Linked DNA regions of Oryzias latipes. The protein of the gene in region 2 purifies or fractionates together with the protein of the main gene of each other region. This does not show direct contact. Links are inferred from orthologs where the notes say so. Each region holds a gene or a part of one and is shown on either strand. Other genes may lie near its edges. The genes, in order: ttc1 and limk2.

What was found.
Region 1: the proteins of limk2 (region 2) and ttc1 purify together in Homo sapiens (affinity purification with mass spectrometry; 3 studies listed by BioGRID and IntAct, counting the BioPlex papers as one, with this or other methods). This does not show direct contact. The link is inferred for Oryzias latipes from reciprocal best matches to the Homo sapiens genes LIMK2 and TTC1.

What each region holds. Positions count from the first base shown.
Region 1 is NC_019872.2:23,096,433-23,100,349, forward strand, and holds the start of ttc1 (tetratricopeptide repeat protein 1), read right to left. Parts: upstream 2,515-3,917; 5' UTR 2,419-2,514; intron 2,286-2,418; 5' UTR 2,164-2,285; exon of another isoform or gene 2,086-2,163; 5' UTR 2,077-2,085; coding exon 1,744-2,076; intron 1,591-1,743; coding exon 1,530-1,590; intron 1,400-1,529; coding exon 1,287-1,399; intron 1-1,286.
Region 2 is NC_019876.2:4,308,078-4,311,894, reverse strand, and holds part of limk2 (LIM domain kinase 2), read right to left. Parts: intron 3,394-3,817; exon of another isoform or gene 3,300-3,393; intron 2,969-3,299; coding exon 2,833-2,968; intron 764-2,832; coding exon 654-763; intron 416-653; coding exon 230-415; intron 5-229; coding exon 1-4. UniProt on the Homo sapiens protein: Serine/threonine-protein kinase that plays an essential role in the regulation of actin filament dynamics. Acts downstream of several Rho family GTPase signal transduction pathways.

The DNA.
Region 1 (3,917 bases), on a different chromosome or scaffold from region 2:
ACTTTGGTATTAAAGACACATTGCGGGACATCACCTAAAGAAAAAGAATCCAATTTGAGTACATCCTGACAGATGGGGCTGAGTCAGCACTAAAGAAAACGCAACGCATGTTTAAGCAGCTTCTTCCAACAAAACGTCAACTTGAACTCGCATTTCGGTCTCCTCAGTTCAAAATTCTTGCATTGACGCCTCGCTACACAAGTTTTTACGACTGTTTTCCAGCTTTACATACAAAACGCACGGCCAGTGAACGCCGTTGAAGGTTAAACTTTGACCGATCCAGTAATCAGCTTTGGTAGTGTTGTTCCTCCTTCCCTCCCTCCTTGAACTGATGCTTTATTTAACCCCTCGTGACGATCATCAAAGATATCGCTTTCCTTTGCTGCTGCACTCGAGATAAGCGGCACGTTGTTGCGTTACCATGGCAACGCGCAGCACCACGTAACAAATAGTTCGCTTTTTGAGGAAAAAGTGATATAAACTGAAAAGATAACAAGAATAGAGTACTAAAAATTGATAGAATATTTACTTCTTTTGTAAATGGTGTAAGTGGGATAGTGGCTTAAAGTGTGCACTATCGGAATTAACGCAGTTCGGGCGTTGGACGGTTCAGGCTTCCACCACGCGTGGTAATTTCTGAGAATGCTGACTTCATACATAATGGTGTAATAGCCATTGACTGTAGATGAGAACTGGACTGAGTGACCCCTCACATTCCAAACAGGAAGTACCAGCTGGCTCCAAGAAGCCAAAATCCCATAGACTTTCATAGAGAAATAAACAGCTGTTACTCAGTCATTCTATTTGTCAGAATAACTATTCTTGCTATGATACCTTTTTTTTATTTAGTTTTTTACATTTGTTTCCTTCTTTTTTGGTAGTTTCAAGTTATCCAAGTTGTAAACTGACCAATCGGATGCCTTTATGCTGTCTTGCGTTGAACGTTCGAAACATCTGATTGACAGAATCTCACGAGTCCACTCTCAAGTAGGGTTGTAGACTTCTAATAAGATCACTTCTGATTGGTGAGAGTGGTTGCCACAGAAACGCTGATTCAGACTAAATCGAATCACTGCTTAATGCCATTGTCTGGTTCCAACATGGCGAAGTCCGTATCACAAAAAAGGATGACTGAATTGACTTAATTTGGTTGGAGCAGGAACTAAACCATTTTCTGTGGCTGACATGACTCTCACTCAGTCCAATTCTCTTATATAGTCAGTGGTAATGGCCAATGTTAGCTAAAGTGTGTTGGCAGTTCTGTAACAATGTTATATCAGTGGTACCAGATGCAGTCTTGCTGCTGCTCGGTTGGAGAACAGCACCGCCCTCTCTCGGCTGAAACACACGGGACATAACGCCAAAGCCTTGGAGTAGCTGTCCTCTGCCTCAGACCAGTCTGCATGAACACACAAAAAAAGGTTACACACATGAACACACAAAAAAAGGGTTACACACACATAAAGGGGTTATAAATAGGTTCCAGGAGGGTAACAAACAGGATTAAAGCAGTTTTTTTTTTTACTCACTTCTTGCTTTAAACTGGCCGTTGCCTGTTTCCTTCAGGGTCAAACTCTGCTGTCGTCGACTCTGAAACAACATGACAGATGTGAGGGAAAAAAATTTCCTGCAGAAAGCTCGACTCACGATTCCATGACTCAGCAGTAATGGATTCTAAAGAACTGCACTGTTGTTTACAGCGGCCGTTTGCTCCTCTCATAACCACCGTGAACTGCATCTTACCTCCTTCTCCTCTTCGGTCAGCGTCTTCTCCACCTCCCTCAAGTAGTCGTCATCAAACTCGGCTCCACTGCAGACCTCCTCTTTGAACTCAGCGTCTGAATCCTCTAGTTCGGCCTCTTCTTTTTCTTCTTCTGTCTCTTTGTCTTCGTTTCCTCTTTGGGTGTCTGTGTCCACGTTGAGGTCAGACTCCTCTGTAGGGTTTTGCTTCTTCCTCCTCTGCTCTTCACACTCCTCCTCCTCCTCTCCAATGGGATCAGGATGCTCAGGAGTTTCTGGACAGTCGTAGAAATCCTCCTCTTGGGTTGTGGTCTCCCCACCTCCCCGGCTGCTCATTCTGAGGCTCTAACAAACAGGTTAGACAGGTTAAGTAAGGACAGAAGCCTTAAGCATGACCTACATGGTCTGGTCTCTGCACGTTACTTTACTGCAGGTTCCACGCCAAGCCGCACGGAAGTCGGCGACAGAGCCAAGCAAGTGATGTCACTCAAACACCGCTCGGTTCTGCTGCTGGGAGTGGGTCAGGTTCGGTGCGCGCGCCCTGCCTGTCAAAGAACGACAAAGAATGCAAGCGGATGACTGTGGCGACCTAAATAAACTTCGGACACTTATCACGACACGACAACATGTGGGGACGCTGCAGGTCCGCACTAAAACAGAAAGAAAACGCAGTCTCACCTGAAAACAGCGCCTAGCCGGTTAGCTCTCTGACGTCACTTCCGGGTTTGTCTCCGCCAGGCTACGCCTCCTCCTAAACCACGTGACCAAGCTGTTTTCCGTTTATTGCACTTCCGGTTAGAAGCAAAACAAAACCAATCAATGTTTTTAAGAGAAATAATTCACCAAAAGTCGCAGTGACACAAACATAAATGTTAGTATAGGATTTATTAAGACCCAGCTGGTCACTTTAGCTAAACATTGGCTGTGCGGCAAAACAAAATACCTGCTCACTCATTATCATTTTAAATTATCAAAAAAAAAAATTACAACAAACATGGCATTTAGAAATATATTTTTTTTAAATTTTTGTCATGAGAGATCATGAGATCATCTACCTGAAACTCTTTGGTGGCAAGGCTCAGAGGGTGGACCATACACGGTGTGAAAACAATGATTGGTACCTCCTGATGGGTAAACTCATTGACTCATTGGTTTTTCATTCAGGAGAAAATTGAGCTCAACAAAATGATGGAAAAACAAGTTAACGATATTAAATAAAGGATCAAATAAAAATTTAGGTTATACAGAGAATTAGTGCGCTAGACTAAACCAATGTCTGTTAAGGAACAAACAGGGATTGGCTCAGAGGGATACAAACTTTTCCTCTTTATTCTCTCGAAGGCTAACTACGCTCCTTAGAACGTGCCCTGTGTGGATTCGTTGTCATTGTGTTCAAACCCTGCTGCAAATACAAGGTCTGATTCTAAATGGTTTATCAGAAGTTTAATGTTAAAAGTAGTGGTATGTCAGCAGCTGGATGCAGAAAAGCATTAGGGAGGGGTCAAAAGGTGAATCCTTGTTCACCAAAAAATACAAAATAAACGTGTTTATATATGAACTTTCAGTCTATTTTGCAGCAACTGTATTTGAGAACTCACCCAAGTGAATGTGATGTCACCCATAGTAATGGATTATGCCTTGCTCCGAACAAATTAAGTTCATTTTTTTGTCATGTCCAGGTGTTGGGAACCATTCATTTCATGTATGCATGGCACTTGATTCATACACATTTATGTCCCACTCTAATGCCAGTAGTAGTCAAAATCTAAAAACCTGTGTCGTTTTCTAGGTCATAGCTTCTGCAGCGCAGCAGGAATTCACTAGAAATTAAACTCAGAATCGTGGGCAAGACTGTTGGCGTGGAAGTGAGCCTCCACTGATACCCCATTATCCTTTCTAGCCTCTCACCCTCTAACCTAACATTACCGATGCAACGACAATGGGGAGCAATTTTGTAGCTATCCAGCCATACAGTTCTGATCCAGATTCCAGGTCAGACGAGGAAAACAAAGACGTACATGAATCTATTTGACTGCAACTGGATGAATCAGAATGGAGCAGAGCAGGGAGCTTGTGGCCTGACAATTGTAATTCCAATTTTAAAATAAACTTTTTTCGTCCGCTCCTGATTCACTACAATTTGAATAATAAAATACTCAGAAAGTCAATTTTAATCT
Region 2 (3,817 bases):
GACCCTGAAACAACCCAGCACCAACATGAATATATGTGAGCACACAAGGACAGCCCCTCTAAGAACTAGAACAACACTCAAACAACAACACTAAACCACCGACTGCTGCTTTTTCCTGCAGTGGCACACTTCCACACCTGCTATTTAACAGACCTGTAATCAACCTTACGTAATGCATTACTCATTCTGTTCTCATACGAGTAGAAAATAAGCATCAGAAGCAACGCACTCTTTCACTTGAACATTTGCAGAACCAGCGACATCCCTTAGCACCGACACCGAGAAGCCCCTCTTGCCGTTGGCTGCAGAGGGCATGGAGATGAGGGTCACTGTGTGGGGCAGGGAGTGAATGACGGAGTCTTGAGAGTGTTTTTCCAACATTGGCTTGAGGACCTCCTGTTTGTAGCACCTTCCACTGCAAAAAACATGCATCGAAGCACCTCAGCTTTAGCCTTTTTACCATTCTACTATCATTCCAAAATCATCAGAAGACTTTAAATAAATATGATTAAAGGCAAAAAAACATTTTAAGTTACCATAAATGCAAATAAGGCACTTCATAGACAAGATGTAAAACTATCTATATCTAAAAATGATCAATGAATCTACTTTTAATATTAAAAAAATGGCTTGAAAAGGTTGAAGTAACTTACCAGTAGAGTTTGGACCGCTCGACCAAAGCATAAGTATCTCTATCCTCAATCACCACCTTGCAGCTTAGACAAACAAAACATTCAGGGTGGTACTTGTGTTCTTCAGCCACCTGGAACCACACAAAAACCAGCAAATCATCCACTCAGCTTCAAGTAAAAAGTAATCCAAAGAGGACTGCGCGTTCGCCTTAAGACCTCCTCTCCACTGCGAGCGTGAAACCCTCAACACCTGCTTTTCTCTCAGCCCGTCTGGAATCTGCTGACGTCATCTGCTCTGCAGGTCTGAGCCGCTTGAATCACTGCTGCTCTGCCTTTCAAGTCTGTCTCAGTGACACAGCCTCCACACGACGGGCCGGTTTGCCTTCCGACATGAATGTCACACACCGGCTACATCTGTCTTGTTTCATCCCTCTCATGCAAAATGAGATAATGCAGCCCCTTTGATCCAAGAGTTAGTTACATACTTGTTCAGAAGAAAGGCTGGTTTCTGAATAAATCTCTATTAAATGTAATGCTTTTTGTTTTATGCAAGAAAAGACATTTTTTGTCAAAAAGATGCTCCTGAGTTTGTAATTGCAATGTTAAGGAATGTAGTTGTTTTTTTCCCCCTTTCCTTTTTCTTGGAGTACTTTTCCAACATCTGACACAGCTCTGAGTCAGACGGTGTTGGGAGTCACTTTTCAGCTGCTTAAAAATGATGACAACCAAATTATTGTGAAAGCCCAACTCCTAGCCTTAAAGCCAAAAACAGAAGCACAGTGGCGTGCTGCTTTAACTCAAACAAACCAGGCTCCTTTAAAAAAAAACCCATCAAAATGGTGAAGAAAAAAAACTAAAGCAAAAAACAACAACTTTAAGATGCAAAACATCCCAATGAATCAATAAACTAACAAATAATTAACTGGGACAAAAACAGCAGTGTTCTGGGGAAGAATGCTTAACAAGCAGGCAGCCGCTCTGCGTGACCCTCCTCCACCATTGGACCACAATGATTTTCTTTCTGGCTGACAGACTGTGGTGCCACTTCAGCCCTGCCAAAAACATTTGGCCTCACTGGCTGATGAAGCGAGATGCGAGTAAAAATAAATAAATAAAAAGCTCCATTGTGTGTTAGTTGGTAGCAAAAAAGAAAAAAAGAAAAAAAACAAAAAAACCCAAGTCTGGTTTCATGTTGGACAAGTTTGAAACCAGCAGGAGATTAACTTAAAGACCCACAACCGAGCCTGAGTGGCATTTGCACTAAATCTAACCCACATCAGCTTCTCTACTTTGATCAAAGCTCCTCTTTTTACTTTCTGTTATGTGAAGTAACTCCTCAGTTTTAAAAACGCATTCTCGAATGTTAAAAGAGCCATCAATTCAGATCATATTTTTGGGAAAAATAAAAAAAAGAGGAGTCTAAATGCTCCAAAAAGGAGCACATGTTCTCCTTCCTACAGCATGTGGGGAGGCGAACCGTGGAGAACTTGTGCAGAGAGGGAACAGACTGGGGCCTCTGGGGCCTCGAGGGGGAAACCAATTCACAAGTGAAGTCTAGAACTCCTTCTGCTAAGTTCAGCAGCAGCCCAAGTGAAGTATCACTCATTTTTAAACTGCGGCCAATGCAGCCCTCCGCTTTTTTTTTTTAATGCATGCTAGCCGCCTGTTTCAACGTGTATCACCATGCTTAATGGCCATTTTGAAGGACATATTACTTGCATGTTGCTGGATGAGCAGAGGAGACAAGCGGATAGAGGCAAAACGTCTGAGTAAAAGTTGAAATGTAGTCCGTTAAAGTCTTGCGAAATCACAGATGTTAAGAGAAAAACAAAGACGGGACTCATCCATCCTAAGACAAAAAAAACTATTTAAGAAGCCTGTGTGGTCACTTTAAGCCATTGTACTAATGTTTATTAAAGGGGGTAAGAGTGCTTCCACTAGCTGACCTTCAGTGGACTATCATGTCTCAGTCAGAAACTCAAAAACTATCAAGTTTTCTAGATACTTTGAAAAATGTAGTATAAGAAAGAAAAAGACCAAGTATGGGTTAAAGGAAAGTCAAACGCTGTTGAAGAGCTCCCAAGAGAGCACTAGTTTTCCACTGTCCCTCCACTTCTTGTAGCAAAAGTCACAAAACATGAAAAAAAAAGGTTCCAAAAAATAAAAAAAGACAGGAAAATAATAAAAACAGCAGACTTACCATAGCAGGTCCGGTCATGAGCAGAGAGCAGCCATGGCAGAACTCTCCAAACTTCTCCAGGTAATGTTTTCGGCAGTACAGTTTGCCCTCATTCTCATAGTACCAGTTAGTCAGGAGGTCAGAGCACACAGAACATCTGGAAAGACGACAAAAACCCTTCAGATCAAAAAGGATGACTACTTATCCAATGCAAGAAACAGTTGACAAATCAAAAGATATTTAAGAATAGCAAACAGTATCAGCGGTAGTAATTGAAATTCAATAAAAAAAATTTTAAAAAAATCCAAAAACTAAAGGAAAATATAAATGTTGTTCTATTAAACTAGACGCAGGGCATAGACCTGCTGCCTCTGTTCTGAGTGCTGGGAAGATAACTTGTTATTCCACTTTGAATAAGACTTAATGGGTGGTGGATTTACTAAATATTTACTTTACAGACTTTGCTAAGCGGCTGTATTGTTCCAAACCTCTTTGGAGGAAAGTCCACCGATCACCTGCTTGTTTACTCTGCATTCGTCTTCCAACACTTAAACTTATTGCTGCTGCTCTTCTTATCTCCGTCTATGTAAACATGAACAAGTGATCCTGTTAGTGCTGAAGTCAAAAGGTGCAAACCATCAAACTCCCTCAAGGTCCAGGCAGGAGTTTAATTTCTTTGTTCTTTGGGGCATATGCAAGCTAAATTAAATCTAAATATGCTATCTGAATCTAACAAGTCTGATTGGTCACATGAGGAAAACTTTGGAACAAAATGTTGGGAGGAACGCTGTATTTGCAGCAAAGTGGAACGCTCCTGCAAACTGAGCTTCTGCAACCAGCAGCTCTGATGCAAAACTTGGACGAAGCACCCTGCCAGAGATTAGGTTACTAAAATCTGTGCAGCGTTTTATACGTGTTGCAAATATTCCACAACCTCCTCTGCTCAAACATGGCTTTTCCAGTAAAACACACACACACACACATATTTGTGTAGATTTTGCTGATT